Nothobranchius furzeri: one gene and its partner. The protein of the gene in region 1 binds, or shares a complex with, the protein of each later gene. Links are inferred from orthologs where the notes say so. Each region holds a gene or a part of one and is shown on either strand. Other genes may lie near its edges.

Region 1 (7,260 bases):
TTTTTGTGCAAAGAGTTCTCTTGAGTAAATCACTGTTAATGGGGGTAACACACACACACACACACACACACACACACACACACACACACACACCTTGTTTAACCTGAGGTGGAAAACTCACTAACACTGATTTCTGTGTGCAGAAATGCTACAGGATGTACTCTTATTAACATATCAGTGAGTTGGTTATAATGTGTTTTTGGCCTTTCTTATCAGCTCCAAATGTTTGTTTGTTTGCTTGTTTGTTAGTTTGTTTTTTGTGGTGATGGAAAAAAACACTTTTTCAAAAATTTGCACATTTCAAGAAGTGGAGTGTTGGTCTTGATTTTTAGGTAAAAGGTGTTTAGTTCTTTTAAACTGGGTTTCTGTGGAGAGGTTATACTAAACATCGTAGTAAAGCTCTTTGAACAACCTCAGTTTGGAGAAACAGATCAGGTCTGACTAGATAAATGAGCTAACGGCTAACCCTAGCGGATCCAAGGCCATCATAACACAGCTCTGATCTGAAAGACGTAACAGATGTTTATCTAACGCTACGTTTTGTAAAACTCCACGCTTCTGTCACAATGCATGATTTACAGAAGATTCTTACAGAAAGCAGCTCGTCTACTATCTCTCCAGATCTCTCCATCCCTTCAGACGGGATATAAATAATTCAGCCTAAATGAAGCGAGCATGTGTGAACATGTGGTGCATTCACTGACCTAACAGAGAGAGAAAACTCTCCTGGGGCTGATTCACTCTCCCTCACCAGAAACACTCCTGTTTCCTGCCAGCGCAGACGCTCCTCAGCTTCAAGTCGGGACACCGCACCTGCAAACCAACTGCAGCAGCAGACAGAAACGTCTATTAAAAATGTTAAAGGCATTCCCACATAGGCTGGGACTTCAACAAACAGCATCTATTTTTTTTAATCAAAAATGATAATAAAAAACTAAAAATAAAGGTTAAAACCTCCCAACTTTGGAAACTACATCTCAAATGTGTAAAATGAGTAGTTTTCTGTTTACGGATGAGGGAGTAGGTAGATGTAGTTCTCTGGTACGTAGCCTCGCTTCCCCTGGATCTCCGATGTGAACCAACAAGAGTCTTCCTCCATTTCTGTCACCTAAAACACACACAGACAGGACACCTAAAACAACACAATCACTACTAAAAACACGCAGAAATCCCTCTAAAGCATCACAATCCTGCGGCCGTACTTTGACAACGTCCCCCTTCTGAAAACTGATCTCGTCTGGCTCTGATGCTGCAAATGAGAAGAGAGCCACAGCCTCCATGGTGGTGGGAGAGAGGAGTGAGATAGCTGAGGGAGAGGAGTGCAGCAGAGGGACGTCAGGGTGACATAGTCCATGTGTGTGGCTGACAAGTTAATGAGGAGTGTTTTCAGCCCGTGTGTCCTTCTCTTCATCCACGTGATTGAGCCTGAGCTCATCCGCGCCGTCCTTTAGCAGAAAACAGAAGTTCAGTTTCTCACCACTTGTCACATTTAGAGCTCTCCTCGGTAGCAGTGATGAGAGCTGCACACCTGAGCTGAATATCAGGAAAGAGATTCCAGGAATCACAACCAAGAAACAACACCAACTTAGTATCAACTGGGATTTATTTGAGTTTTTACATCATGACTCTGAAAACATGGCTGTCAGAAGAGAATCCTCTCTGTTTAAATCAATAATCAATGGCTGTTCTGTCACATTTCCTGTCCTGATGTGTGGATGGGAGTCAGCAGCAACAAGCTCCACTGACTGGATGGACTTTATCTCATTCAAACACATTTCCTGTTCCAAACTTCTACTGATTCGGTCGATTTTAAGGCCACTTTGACGTCCTGTCTACATTTACCATCACAGTTGATTTTACTCCTATAAAAAAAGCAGAATTTTTAAACTAATCTATATCGTAGGTCAGTTACTGAGTTTTAATTAGGACTGTCTTATGTTAGGAAATGATGCAGTTACTTTGGTCCATTCTTTATGAATATATTTATTATTAGAGATGCACGATGCATCCGCATCAACATCGGCCTGTGCTAGTCGGTATCGGTCTAAAACTGGGCCGGTGTTAGCAAACAATATTTTCCTCCACCTAGTAGCCATTTGTGTATCAGTTTCAGAAGGGGAGGGGGGTGATGGTGCGCGATAGTTTGGTCATGTGACAGTGATGGTGGTTATTCCAGAAGTGTACATGTTTGCGTGTAAATTCTCAATGAAAATGTCATTTTAAATGTGGTTTTCCGGTTTATTTTCTTTTTGAGGCATATTGGTGATGAGGAAATCTTTTTTTTCAAAAGAAAAAATAAATGTCAGAAGGGTGAAAAAAATATATATACATATATATAAAATGAAACCTTCAACTGACTAAATGCAAATTTTATACTGAATTCAATCAAAATCAAAAGGGTCAACTCGGGTCTCGGACCAGAACCTTCTCTGCTCTCTGCTAAAAACAGCCTGGAGCACTCAACTACTTTCATGTTGTGTAATAATTAATCTTTTAATTCTACTCAGCCACTCATCAGTGACACTTTTTACTAAATTTGATTAAAGACTGATCTAAAATAAATCAGCCACAACATTAAAACGTCCTCACAGGTGAAGAAAACATGTATGAACGACTCTTGTTCCCACCCATGTGTGTGTGTGTGTGTGTGTGTGTGTGTGTGTGTGTGTGTGTGTGTGTGTCAGTAACAGTCCACTATGACCTCTAGCCCTGGTTCTGAGTTCAGCTGGGTGTTTCTGCTGCCTGCAGTGAGAATGTCCTGCAGCAGAGACATGGGGGAGTTATGTACGTGGTCGCTGCTTTGCGTCAGAACACTCAGCCTCGCGTCTAAACCCAGAGACCTCAGCACCTCACACACACTTACACGCACCATGCAACCTTCATCACGCACACCTCCCTGCTCAGGTTTACGGTCATCTCCAGGATCAACAACATCAGATTTCTGAGCAGGGTCCGCATCCTCGATTCCCAGTATTTTCCGGACCTCCTGGGCCCAGCCACATCCAGGCAGCTCACAGGACACTCCGGGCTCGTCTGGTGCAGAGACCCTTTGGTCTCCTAGTAACAGAGGACAGACGGAGTCTCTGAGTCTCATGAGCAGCTGACAGGCCTTCAGTCCAACAGGCCTGTCACAGTCAACGAGACCACCCAGCAGCACCAAGAAGACTCCCTGATCAACCAAAGTGCTCAAAACACCGACTAAATCTGACTCCCCGTCCCATGTGTGTGCCTCAGAGTGCAACTGAAGCTTGAAGACTTTGTTAGACGTCACGGCGTAGGGATGAGGATGAGCTCCTGGCTCATTTGAGTAACCACGAAGACCTGAGATGACTCGGTCCATCAGCAGCTCAGCCAGCTCCAGAGTGTGAACTTTGACCTCCCAGTCTAGATCAGCACTGCCTTGTGAGAGGACAGCATGCATGGACTGCATGAGAAGTGAGCAGGAGGTGGGCGAGGGGCACAAGGAGAACCAGGTGATAAAGTACTGAAGGACAGCCCTCCTAGAGAATCCCTCCGTGTCCTGGGAGAGGATTTCATGCAGCCGACTCACAAGTTCAACCTGAAAGGACAAAAAAAAGGTGATGAACAATCACTTTATCTTATTTATTGATAAAAACAACCAGTTCCATTTCCACCTGCCTGCTCCTGTGTGGGTGCTGCCCCCTGCTGCCAGCTGGGTGCCAGTGTCTGGGCCAGAGCAGAGATGGAGCTGGCTCTCACGTAGCTCTCTGGATCCTGCAGTGCCTCCTTGAGGAGAGAAACGGTAAAGCAGCGGTCGCCCAGCAGAACCTCAGACGTGTCACACAGCCCTGCTAGGTGTCCCAGAAACTCCACGGTCGAGTCTCTCACCTCCCAACGCACATCACACACACGCTTTCCCACCACCTGGATGAGATCTAACACGGACGAGCGTTACGCCACTTCTGTCCACATGTGGATCCAGAACTCAGAGCTGCAGCAAAGAGGGGCATACCTTTTCTGAGCTGGTCTGTTATCGAGGAGAGATCCGCACACGCACTAATCCACTTCATCAGAGTTCGGTACGACTTCTGGAGGACCTGAAAAACACCCGTCCACACGCACACAGTTATAAATACTCTAGTCACAGCAGACATTTTTATGTCCACCAACCTTTCTTTCAACATTTCTTTATTTCTTCTTGAAATTATATCTCATTTGACCTTGTATCAGTTTCTGAGGCAACCATTTTTGTGCAAAAACTGCAAAAAACACCAGCCTCTCCCAAGTGTGTGTGTGTGTGTGTGTGTGTGTGTGTGTGTGTGTGTGTGTGTGTGTGCGTGTGTTGTGTTGTGTGTGTGTGTTTTGGGTTTAAGTGTGGGGAATCTGGCTGCTCTACAAAGGCAATGAAGCCCTTTAACATGAACAAAGTACACAAACAGTTCAAAAGGCATCAGATTTACAATTAAAACAATAAAACAAGACACACTATTTAATGAAATGTCAGAATCATTTGTAAAATATGGTGTTTAAATAAAAAATTATACCCATTTCGTGTTTTCTTTTGTATTCATTGGATAAATTCTGTATTTTTGTCATCTTTTTGTTGTTTTGCATTTAAATACTCCCCTATGTTGTACTGGAAGGTAAAAACAAAGCATACAGTAGAAAAACACAGAGTTACATACTGAGAAATTAGTTAAATTGATGCAAAGGAAGTACAGAAAATCCTCTACATCCAGCAACAGTACTGCTCAACGTTTGGAGCCAGCGTGAATCTAAAAGCAGATTTAAAGTGGTGAAGTTGATCATCTACTCTAAAAAATGGAAGACATGGATTTTGGTGATCAAACACACACAAGAACTTACAGTGGGCTCAGAAGCAGGACTGTTCAGATACTGCATGAGAAGTGTGAACACCTCCGCCAGCAGGACTTTCCCTCCTGAGACAAAAACAAGATAAAATCAGAGCCACTTTTGTACAAAAATCTACATTTATGCCCCCCCAAAGCAATAAGTCTAGTTGTTTTAACAGGATTACCACGCCCTGGATGACTTTAAATGAGCCGGATTAAATTATTTTGCTCCCAAACTCAGGAGGGTCTATTTCATACACATTGTTTTAAAGACAGTTTACTCAATAAGATGGAAAAATGCACAACATTTGTTTGAATTTAGGTTAATTATTTATTATACTAGAATCAATCAAAAATGCATAGGATTATTTTAGGATAAGAAATATATCCAGTGAATATTTTACATCGCTCAGAGGTTAGTTTAAATCATAAGCAGACACTAACTAGTTGATCTTGGTTGATTGGTCACATGGACAAACATGGACTACCATGCTGCAGGGGGGCAGTCTAATGGAAGCAGGGAAGAGTGGGTCCAAGCAGCTAGTCAGCGCTTTGATTGGCCGCTGCTATTCATCCCCGTCTTCGGTCTTCATCAAAGTAATTTAAAGGGATACTCTACCCAAAAGTTACATTTTGTCTGTTGACATATTTTCCAGCGTTAGAAAAGTGGGAAAAAAACATTTTCAACCAGCCCAGTTATTGTCCTGACCCAGCTGTACTTCTTTAGCTTAGCATAAAACACTGTAAGCGAATGGGACCAACTATCATTGTGAGGAAAAAAAGTCTGTTCAAATCACTCAGTAGTGATACAAATTGTATTGAGCGGCCTAAATAATCATCAATCAATCAGATTTATTTATATAGCACCTACCACCACCTTATCAGAGGCCCAAGGTGCTGAACTGCACATAAAAACAACATAGTAGATAAAAGAGAGAAAAAATTATTAAAAAAATAGAAAAGTACAAGTAAAAGTAATTAAAAACCATACAGTACAAAAGGTGAAAATACGAAAGCCAGGGTCAACGATGCTGGGGAAAGCTAGTAGATAAAAGAGAGATTTCAGGAGAGACTAACTCCTGTAGAGAAGGAGCTTGCTTCACTGCCAGAGGGAGCTCATTCCAGACTGTAGGGGTCATTACTGAGAAGACCCGGTGTCGGTGCAGGATCTGCTCGGGTGCAGGATCGGCTCGGGGTCCTTCGACTGCCGATGACGTCACATTACTGCAACTCTACTCGGCTTTCACACACACGTTTTGGAAAGACATCAGCAGTTTTGTTAATAAATTCTTGTTTGTTAACATCTAAATGTTTTCTTTATAATTGTAATTTGTTGATAAAACACCATATTATCTTTGTTTTGTAAAGAATGTGAAACTGCATAAAACCAACATCGGACTGACAAACAAACAGTTCTTATATGTGAAGCCACGTCTGTTTGTATTAACGTGGAGTTCATCTGTATAATTCCTTAGTTGTTATCTAAATACATTCTTTGACTCAAAATGTTGCTTGGTGTCTTTCAATAAAGTTCTTATGTTTTATTTTGCCCCCTTTCATCAACATCAAGAGCTTTTGAGGGTCACCGTTTATCATTTGCTTATATTTTACATTTACTTTAGAAATTCAAACATATTTTCTCCAAAAAGTGTTGATTTTTGGACTACAGGACTACAACCGCTAAGACTACGGCCACAAATTTGTTCTGACCAATCAAAATCATGATGTGATAACGTAACTTCCGTAAGCTTCATGTTCAGCCAATCAACTACTTTGACGTCATTGGCAGTCGAAGGACCCCGAGCCGATCCTGCACCGACACCGGTCCCCTTGATCTGAGTTTAGAGCGGGGGACTTCCAGCCACTCCTGCTCAGCAGAGCGAAGAGCCCGAGTGGGGACACGCCGCTGCAACAGTTCAGCAAGATATGGGGGAGCACTGCCCTGCAGCACCCTGATCACATAGAGGAGAATCTTAAATCTTGCCCCGGTAGCCAGTGCTTAGAAGCTACCACTGGCATGATGTAGTCTCTCCTTCTGGTCCCAGTCACAAATCTCGCAGCGGAGTTTTGGACTAGCGGGAGTCGTGCAGTAGTAGCTTGACTCAGTCCAGCATACAATGCATTACAGTAGTCGATGTGGGCATGATAAAAGCATGTTCTGCTGTTTCCAGATGTACTCTGGACAGGAGAGGCTTTGTCTTGGACAGCCGTCTCAGATTAAAAAAACATGCTCGAACAACCATGTTTATTTGTGCATCAAATCAAAGGGGTGCATCAATTTTCACCCCTAAATTAGTGACCACATTCTTCTGACATTGTGTCATGGAATCAAGATCAATCTCATCACCTGCTCCAGCTCTCTCACCAGGGCCGGGTATTATTACACCAGTTTTAGAATCATTTAGGAAGAGGAAGTTAGTCGCCATCCATGACTTAACTTAACTGC
Region 2 (8,390 bases), on another chromosome or scaffold:
AAACAAATATATTCTGTTGTTCAGAGCCCACCTTTGTCAATGTTGGATTTTTATGTGTGCTTCATAAATGTTATGTTTTATAACAGCAAGAATATCTTCCTTCTGAACTTCGTACGTCCAGAAGTGGTTTGTTGCTCCAGTCACTAAACGCTGGTTATGCTAAATAAATGCATCTGTTCCACTGAGCTGTGTGTCTGTCTGCACTAACTGCTTACCTGAATCCAGTTTAAAGCTGCATAAAGGTTTCATGATGAATTCATCCCAATGTCGAGCTCAAATTTGGCACTTGGTTTACTTTCAAACAAAATGAGCTGTTGCTGTGTGGATGGAAGCTTTTTAGCTGGCAGCGAACTGGAGCTCTGCGCTGGATCTCACCGCCTGCAGAGTCAAAGTGCCGCTGAAAGCTCTGATCATGCGGATCGCTCACTGCCAGAAGCAGATGTCCACCTGAGACCGCTGATCATCTACTCATCCTCCAACCTCTGGGTCTCAAGCAGTTGGAGCTGGGGCATGAGTTTGTCCAGCTCCTTCTAGGACTCCCCTCAGAGAGACGACTTTATTTTAGTTATTCTGGTGAAGCTGCAGGAGTGTCACACAGGTGGAGCATCTGCAGAATGTTCTCTGCTCCACCTGCGGCCCAGCTGAAGCTCGGTAACGGAAGGCTTCGTCTGGCTTGGGGCTGCCGTGAACCTCCGACCGCTCTTGGTTGTCTGAGTCAGCCGTCCCTGGCGGCTCTGCACCGTCCTAGAGAAGATTTCCTACCATCTTGGCTTGCTAAAGCATTGCTACCCTGTTGGGGGGACCATCACAATCGTTACTTTAAACATCAGATAAAACTTTAGTTTTAATTATTTACTAGACTTTTTCTACCAATTTACAAACGAGTCAATATTACAAGTTAAACATGATTGTACTGAGGATCAGTATTTTGTTTTCCACCCGTAGAAACAGGAAGTGGATGCTCATGTCGACTCGTGACGATGTTGCCCTAGCAACATGGTACCCGTGCCCCCATGACGACCTGTTTTCGGCACGAGGGCAGCCCCTGGTGTCGGAAGGCTGTAACTGCACCTGTTATGGGATTAAAATTGGGTTTCCTCACATTTAATCCAAATCAATCCCAGGCGTCTTTAGTCGTAATGAAGTATATTATTTAAAGTACTTTGATACATTTAGTCATAGTAAAAATGATAATACTTGGCTAAAACAATAAATAGTAAAAGCCCCGCTCAGAAACTGCCACACCAAATCTTTTTTAATGAATTTTTAATGCATTCCAAGTAACCAGTCAGACAGTCAAGTATTCTGGGATTATTCCAGCTAGTAAATATCAAGTCTGTATATCAAAGTTTGAAAAGCAAGGTGGAAATAAATTATAGCTTTAAAACTTTATTAGCTTCTAAATAATTACTATTGGTGCATTTTAATTGATAGATGAGAGAAACAAACAAGCAGCATATTATAAATCAGGATGCATGGGGCTACAATCTGCTGTTCTTCAATTTAATACAAGTTATGGCATTCATCAGAGAGCAACAGGTCCACTTCCATATTGAATCCCCTCACCAGCAGATCCTAGCAGGGTTTTTCCTCTATGGTAAGTCCAGCAGGTGGTGCTTAGCGTAAAGGTCTTCTGTGATCTGGTACACCTCCAAGATGAGAGGCAGGGCCTCCCCCAGCACAGCTACCACCTGCTCAGGGGGGCCAACATTCATCACTTCAAAGAAAGCAGTACGTCCAGGCAGGACAACAAATGCCAGGCCAGCTGCCTTACGGACCAACCACGGGTGGTGCTGAGCCAGAGACTCGTTGTAGGCCTCTGAGCACATGACAGAGGTCTTGCTGTGCTTGTCGCTGGTACGGAGACGCTCTAGGAAGAGCTCCAGCCACCTGAGCGCTCGGTGGAGCCTCAGTAGGGTGCGGCAGCCCGACTCGGGGTGGATGCCAGTCTTGTTCACGTCCACCAGCTGATTCTCGAGCTCATAGCTCACCATGGACTGCACCGTGACGTACTGAGAGCTGCTCTCCCCACTCAGAAAGTTTGACAGGATCTGGATCTTGCTGACGGCGTCTTTAGAAATGAAGGTGAAGACACTGCCCAAGCTGTTCAGGAACCTGTCGGGGGGGATTTAGAAAATGCACACCGTGAGCTGTTTGTCATGTCGCTACAGCTCGGCGCAGAAGAGTCCAGCTTTAACCGGCTAAACGTAATCAGTCAGACCCACGAGGAATTCTAGGAACTCGCCAGCAGCTCCAACAGAAAACTAGGTTACGACCTGAGGCGTTGCTAGGGTAACCACCTGTAAGAGAACCCAACATCTTCCCAGTGGTGTCTGATTTAGATACGTTTGTCTTTAATTGGTCTTTTTTCCTGCATTTCTATACATTAAAGGGTTTTCCTACAAGATTTGAAATGTGTTTATTCATTCAGACCCGTTTCAGCCCCATCCTACGATGGGATTAAAGCTCTAAACTTTAGAGATCAAGAGAAAACAACAATGAAGGCTTTGTTCACCTCGTTTTAATTTTAAACATATTTAGATTATTCAGAACATTAATCTGATACCATGATACATGATCAAGATCAGAGCTTACAAGTGCTTCTGTGGAAAAGTTACAAAAAATTTCTATTTTACCTGTTTAAGATGGTTCACTGAGCGGCCTCAGTTTGGAGAAACAGACTAATTAGATAGAGAGTCATAGCTGCAGTCACAGCGACTTCGCAAACAGATTCCTGTCAGAATTTCATCCTTCAGTAAGAATAACTGTGTCGAGGTTTAAAACAGTGTACACAGATATCATGTGGCCTGGAGGATATTTCTGAGATTAGTTGTTTTAGAACAGGCGTCTCCAACGTCAGGGCCCTCAGAGTAATTTAGTGCAGCCACCAATGCGGTTCTGGAATAGTGGAATTTTATTTTTCCATGTTTACTAATATGATGCCAATTTAGGAGCTGTATAATTTAAAAAAAAATGCACGCCATAAAATAGCCTATGCAATAAAATAAATAAACACATTTTGTGTAAGTGTAGACTCCGAAATTATTTAAAAATCAGTAAAACTGTAGATAATCACTTACTTGACGAGACCACGCCATCCAGCGACGTAGTGTTCTAGATAGACTTCTTTATCGGGCGACAAACATAATTTAAAAGTGTCCAGCACCTCCCGCATGCAGAATTTCTGATTATCTGAAGACCATGAACCTGCCATGGTTCTGGATGAGGATATGTGAACAAAACCACCAAATTAAAGAAGAACTCGTCTTTAATGGCGAGGAAAAAGCTGGAGCTGGGCGAGGGAACCCGGACAGCAAACGCATCACCTACGGGGAGGTTTCAGAGAGCTAAGAAGACGTTTCATCGGTGCTTTTCATCAGTGGAAATGACAGGTCCTTCCTGTTCTGAGCCACGTTTACTGCGCATGCTCAAACGGAAATACACGGGAGATTGAAAGTCTTACTTTCAAAATAAATCCCACTGGAAATGTAAAACGAGAACAACTGAGCTCAATTTTAAACTCGCGGATGAATCAAAATGGAAACTGGAGCCATTTCATTGTATTTAAAGGGAAGCGAAACGAGAATAAAAGTTTTCACTTTTCAAAGTAGGAAACAATTTATTTACATATTTTATGGGTATTCATGTCTGTTCGTTTAAATAAAAATACACACATTTAACTAAATGTTAGTGTGGAAATAAAATAAAATGTGTTTTGGGCACATTTTGGTTTCCAAACATAAACTGCAATAAATAAGTAAAATGCTGGAACCACAGTTAAACTTCAGCAATTATCTGCATAAAAACATAACTTTGTAAAACATTCTGCTACATGTCCAAAAACCCAAACTAATATGTTTTTCTGTTAATTTAATAAATACAATAAAGAGCACTGTTTTCCACTTAATTTAACTTAAAAGCAATGATGATGATAACCTCATAAACATATTTAATATTCAGCTAGAATTTTTTGAACAGTTAAACGCAAAGTTACAACACATTTTAACGTGAAGAATAATTAGAATAAATAAGTATTAATAAGACTTCGGTAGTGTTTTTATTTATTTTTTGTATGAACTTTTATTTTGAATGTGCTAACCGGAATGTATCCTGTTCCTGTTGAAAGCATGAGATAACCGCTCGTAAAAGTTAGAGCTAATAAACATTTATTTCTCATCGTGAATATTATTTGTTGTTAACAGGTTAGCAGTTTGTGACAGGTCGGTGATCCTGGCAGCAGACTGTTGACTAAAACATGCCTGAGATAAAGGTTACACCATTAGGTGAGTACTAGCTAGTTAGCATGTGCTAAGCTAGTTCTGTGTCGATGTTTGATGTAGGCTTTTGTCGTTGACGCTGTGTTAGCAGGACTAGCATGAAGCTGCGTGTGTCTTCTGTCCCCTCTCCAAGGTGCTGGACAGGATGTCGGCCGCAGCTGCATTCTTGTCTCCATCGGAGGCAAAAACATCATGCTGGACTGTGGGATGCACATGGGATACAACGATGACGTAAGTAAAGAGTATGTTTACTGAGGCGAGCTTCAGCTGCAAGAGGTAAAGGGAAGACTTTGGCTATCAGATGAAGTCAGAAAATACAACAACTGTCAGCATAACTAGATTTTTAACAGGCTGTCCTGGGTGAGCTTCACCTGACTGAAAAAGGAAGTCATAAAATCACCAGGAGCCGTCCTTGTTCCCAGATAGATGGAAATCTCCCATCAGGTTAGGAGAGAGGTCTCGGTGTCTTGTTTAGGGGTGATGGGAGGAGGAAGTCTGTTTTTTATTTATTTTCATTTTGCTTTCTTACGAGTTATCATAAACGTGGTCAGTTAAAATTGTCTTCTGGCTGCCTCACTTGGACGTTTCCTGTCTAATCCCACCGGGAGGAAAGTCTAGGAACAACCCAGAGTTATAAATCCTCTGGGATGGTTTTGGGATCACTCGGGAGAAGCTGGAGAGTTTTGCTTGGGAAGGGGTGTCTGGTTTCCTCTCCTTGAGCCTGACCTTGAATATAGATGGTAAATGGCCTGTATTTGTATAGTGCCTTCTTGGGGTTCTACAACCCCCCAAGGCGCTTCACAACACAATCAGCCATTCACCCATTCACACGCTGGTAGGGATGAGCCACGATGTAGCCGCAGCTGCCCTAGGGTGCACTGGCAGAGGCAAGGCTGCCAAACACATTGTGTTAATATATCAATTTCACAGTTTGTTGACAGAATATAGTGATATAAATGATCAAAGCTCCCTCTACAGCGGCTTCATTTATCAAGCTTGCTTACGCACAAAACGGGTCGGAAAACTGCGTGAGCAACTTTCCACGCAAACTTTGGGATTTATGAAAGAAAACTTAGCGGAAACATGTGCACAACTTTAAGTTGACTAAGGACCTGGCTTACGCACATTTTGGACATGGAGAGCACCTGCAGTGCTGCTGCTGAGAAGGATAACATTATGAAATCCTGCAGCATTATCACTTGTACCGCTTCGTGCGCACACAGATCAGGACCACACACACGCATGTGCGTACACACACAGCCTGAAGCGCAGAATACGGAATACAGAATATCAGCAGGGGGACAGATTGAGACAGAATGTCATGCGTGTGTGACGGTGTGTGTCCTGTCACTGTGACCCGATTGATCATGCACCCTGGCTAGTTGTACAAGGGAGCTCTCCGTTTGGATGACTGGTTAGCGTGCGTGACTTTCGCCCGGGAGTCTGGGGATTGAATCCCAATCTGACCATTTTTTTAATATCCGCCACAGATCTCTCTGAAGAATTCACAACATTGACGGCTTCAGCAACGCTGTGCCACTCCGTGGATTTTCTCTTAGTTGTTTTGCAAAAGTACTTCCTTTCATTTCTCCACCTCACCCACAGGTACCTCAACTTCTGCTTCTGTGAAATTGCGCTTCCTTGATCTGCCTTGATCTACGGTCGCCATGTTATTGGTGGAGCGCTGCAACAGCCGGCTTATATATATGCATGAGATCCACAAGGCACTTTGCATTGACCATTTATGGCAGAAAGTGGGCGTGGTGAGGGCGGGATGTGACTAAAAAGCAGCTGAGAATCGTTCTAGATAGTTTCTGATTCATGAAGCGGAGATTGCGTGCAGCTGTGCGTCCTCCATGTTTGATAGATCACAAACCTACTTGGCATAAGTACATATTTTTTGCTGAGCTTAAGTACGGTTTTAGTGATGATTCTACTCAACGTTTGATAAATGAGACCCCTGATCTGTAAGAGGACATGTTATAGGACCAAAATAAAGCAAAAGACGAGCTCTCCGGCCTTAAATGCAGCCAACTGTACATCTGAAGCTGTAAAAAGTATTTGCTAAAAATGTGTAACCAGAGATGAAACAGCGATGCTGCTGTTGCACATGGGTTGATAGGTGCTCCTGTAGTGAGTTACATACACTAATGGTGCAACTTCACACTTAATCTACAGCTGAAAATTGTGTCCTTGTTCTGAACAGTTAAAGGTGTGTGTGTGTGTGTGTGTGTGTGTGTGTGTGTTCGTGTTCGTGTTCGTGTTCCAGAGACGTTTCCCTGACTTCTCCTATGTGACCCAGAACGGGCGTCTGACAGATTTTTTGGACTGTGTCATCATCAGGTTTGTTTTTTGACTTTCTTCTACTTACCGTATTTTCCGGAGTATAAGTCGCACCAGCCATAAAATGTATTAATGAAGAAGAAAAACACATATATAAGTCGCACTGGACTGTAAGTTGCATTTCGGGGGGAAATTTTATTATTTTTCTTACAAAATCTGAGACCAAGCGTTTCACATTGCAAGACAATACAACAGCAGAATAAACAACCAGCTGTTGCAGCAGCTCGTCACGGTCTCCAGCAGGTGATGGTGGGGCAGAGGAGCTGAAACCTGGTCCGGAGCCGGCCCACAGCAGCGCGGTATAGCCTACATAATTTGGTATATAATTCACGTTGGTGTGTGTGTGTGTGTGTGTGTGTGTGTGTGTGTGTGTGTGTGTGTGTGTGTGTGTGTGTCTCTGCTCTGTCTTCTCGATCCCCAGTGAGTCGTGGAGGATGGCTGCTTATACTAAGCCAGGATTCTCTGGAGGTTTCTTCCTGTTAAAAGGGAGTTTTCCTCTCCACTGTCGCTTTATGCTTGCTTAGTATGAGTCAGTGACCGTAAAGTCACTGACACTTGTCAGTGACTTGATGCAATTCGCTGGGTTCCTTATATAGGAAAAATTATTTCTGATTGGCTTAATGAACTGTCCTGAACTGGAATGTTTATTATGTGAAGTGCCTTGAGACGACTCTTGTCGTGATTTGGCGCTTTATAAATAAACTTGAATTGAATTGAATAAAAGTCGCAGGACCAGCCAGACTATGAAAAAAAAGTGCGACTTATAGTCCGGAAAGTACGGTACCTTTGCAAATCTGTAACTTTCTTAAACAACTGCTATTTTTCCTCTCAGCCACTTTCACTTGGACCACTGTGGTGCTCTGCCCTACATGAGTGAGATGGTGGGCTACGATGGTCCAATCTACATGACTCACCCCACCAAGGCCATTTGTCCCATTTTACTGGAGGATTTCAGGAAGATCACCGTTGATAAGAAGGGAGAAACCAACTTCTTCACATCACAAATGATCAAGGACTGCATGAAGAAAGTGGTCCCTTTGAACCTGCACCAAACAGTCCAGGTGCTGTGTTGACATCTTGTTTTTGACACTCTGGGTCAAACGAGTTTCATCTAAGCTTGTCTCCCTCGCTCTCTCTCTCTCTCTCTCTGCGCCAGCTGCTTCTCTCATTTGATGGCAAATCAAGTTGTTTGTGTGGTGCTCCTGGCAGGTGGATGATGAGCTGGAGATCAAGGCCTACTATGCAGGCCATGTCCTGGGAGCTGCCATGGTGCAAATCAAAGTGGGATCAGAGTCTGTAGTCTACACTGTGAGTGTACAACGTCTGAGCTGAAGTCGGTGAACGGAAGTGCGGTCTCACCAAAATCTTTTTGTTTTTTAGGGGGACTACAATATGACACCAGACAGGCACTTAGGGTAAGCTGCCTCTTTCCAACCTTAGGGATATTAATATAGTCCATAATATTATTACCATGTCTCTGGGTTAAGTATGCTGATCAATGAGTGGGTGGAGAGAGAAGAGAAAATAGTAGTAGTAGTGATGTTTATTTGACATGGACACAGCAATTACATTGGACGAACCAGATGCATTGTTTAGTGTGTTAGCACAAGTGCTAATTTGCAACACTTGTCCATTGAACCTTTCTAAAAAGTAGAGTACATTTAAATAAAATGCAAAGTGATCAACAATTAATCAAACAGAAAACAGATTAAAATTGCAAACAATTTTCAATAAAAAAGAATAAAACAAGGCAATTTGAGCAGCAATGTA

The links.
Region 2: the proteins of brat1 (region 1) and ints11 are in contact, whole or in part, in a cryo-EM structure (PDB 8UIB), measured with the Homo sapiens proteins. The link is inferred for Nothobranchius furzeri from reciprocal best matches to the Homo sapiens genes BRAT1 and INTS11. Residues at the interface, in NP_689956.2 of Homo sapiens: Asp25, Thr27, Cys28, Glu30, Lys31, Asp34, Pro117, Ser156, Ser157, Leu158, Phe159, Ser162, Lys358, Ser359, Cys366, Arg367, Arg424, Arg427, Thr465, Lys468, Lys469, Trp514, Glu515, Asp518, Ser519, Glu522, Tyr560, Ser564, Ser604, Glu605; in NP_060341.2 of Homo sapiens: Leu9, Val15, Gly16, Lys27, Met35, His36, Met37, Gly38, Phe39, Arg43, Asp47, Tyr50, Thr58, Asp59, Asp62, His70, Leu71, Asp72, His73, Asp87, Gly88, Gln97, Pro101, Ile102, Glu105, Arg108, Lys109, Val112, Asp113, Lys114.

Annotation. Positions count from the first base shown.
Region 1 is NC_091744.1:16,246,496-16,253,755, reverse strand, and holds the end of brat1 (BRCA1-associated ATM activator 1), read right to left. Parts: intron 4,902-7,260; coding exon 4,828-4,901; intron 4,059-4,827; coding exon 3,974-4,058; intron 3,897-3,973; coding exon 3,640-3,896; intron 3,560-3,639; coding exon 2,681-3,559; 3' UTR 2,544-2,680; downstream 1-2,543. Other genes in the region: GRB2-related adapter protein, read right to left, coding at 705-824, 1,011-1,108, 1,203-1,280. UniProt on the Homo sapiens protein: Component of a multiprotein complex required for the assembly of the RNA endonuclease module of the integrator complex.
Region 2 is NC_091755.1:39,094,678-39,103,067, forward strand, and holds the start of ints11 (integrator complex subunit 11), read left to right. Parts: upstream 1-4,109; 5' UTR 4,110-4,255; coding exon 4,256-4,283; intron 4,284-4,368; exon of another isoform or gene 4,369-4,410; coding exon 4,411-4,508; intron 4,509-6,546; coding exon 6,547-6,620; intron 6,621-7,452; coding exon 7,453-7,681; intron 7,682-7,829; coding exon 7,830-7,928; intron 7,929-8,000; coding exon 8,001-8,035; intron 8,036-8,390. Other genes in the region: cptp (ceramide-1-phosphate transfer protein), read right to left, coding at 1,593-2,115, 3,081-3,214.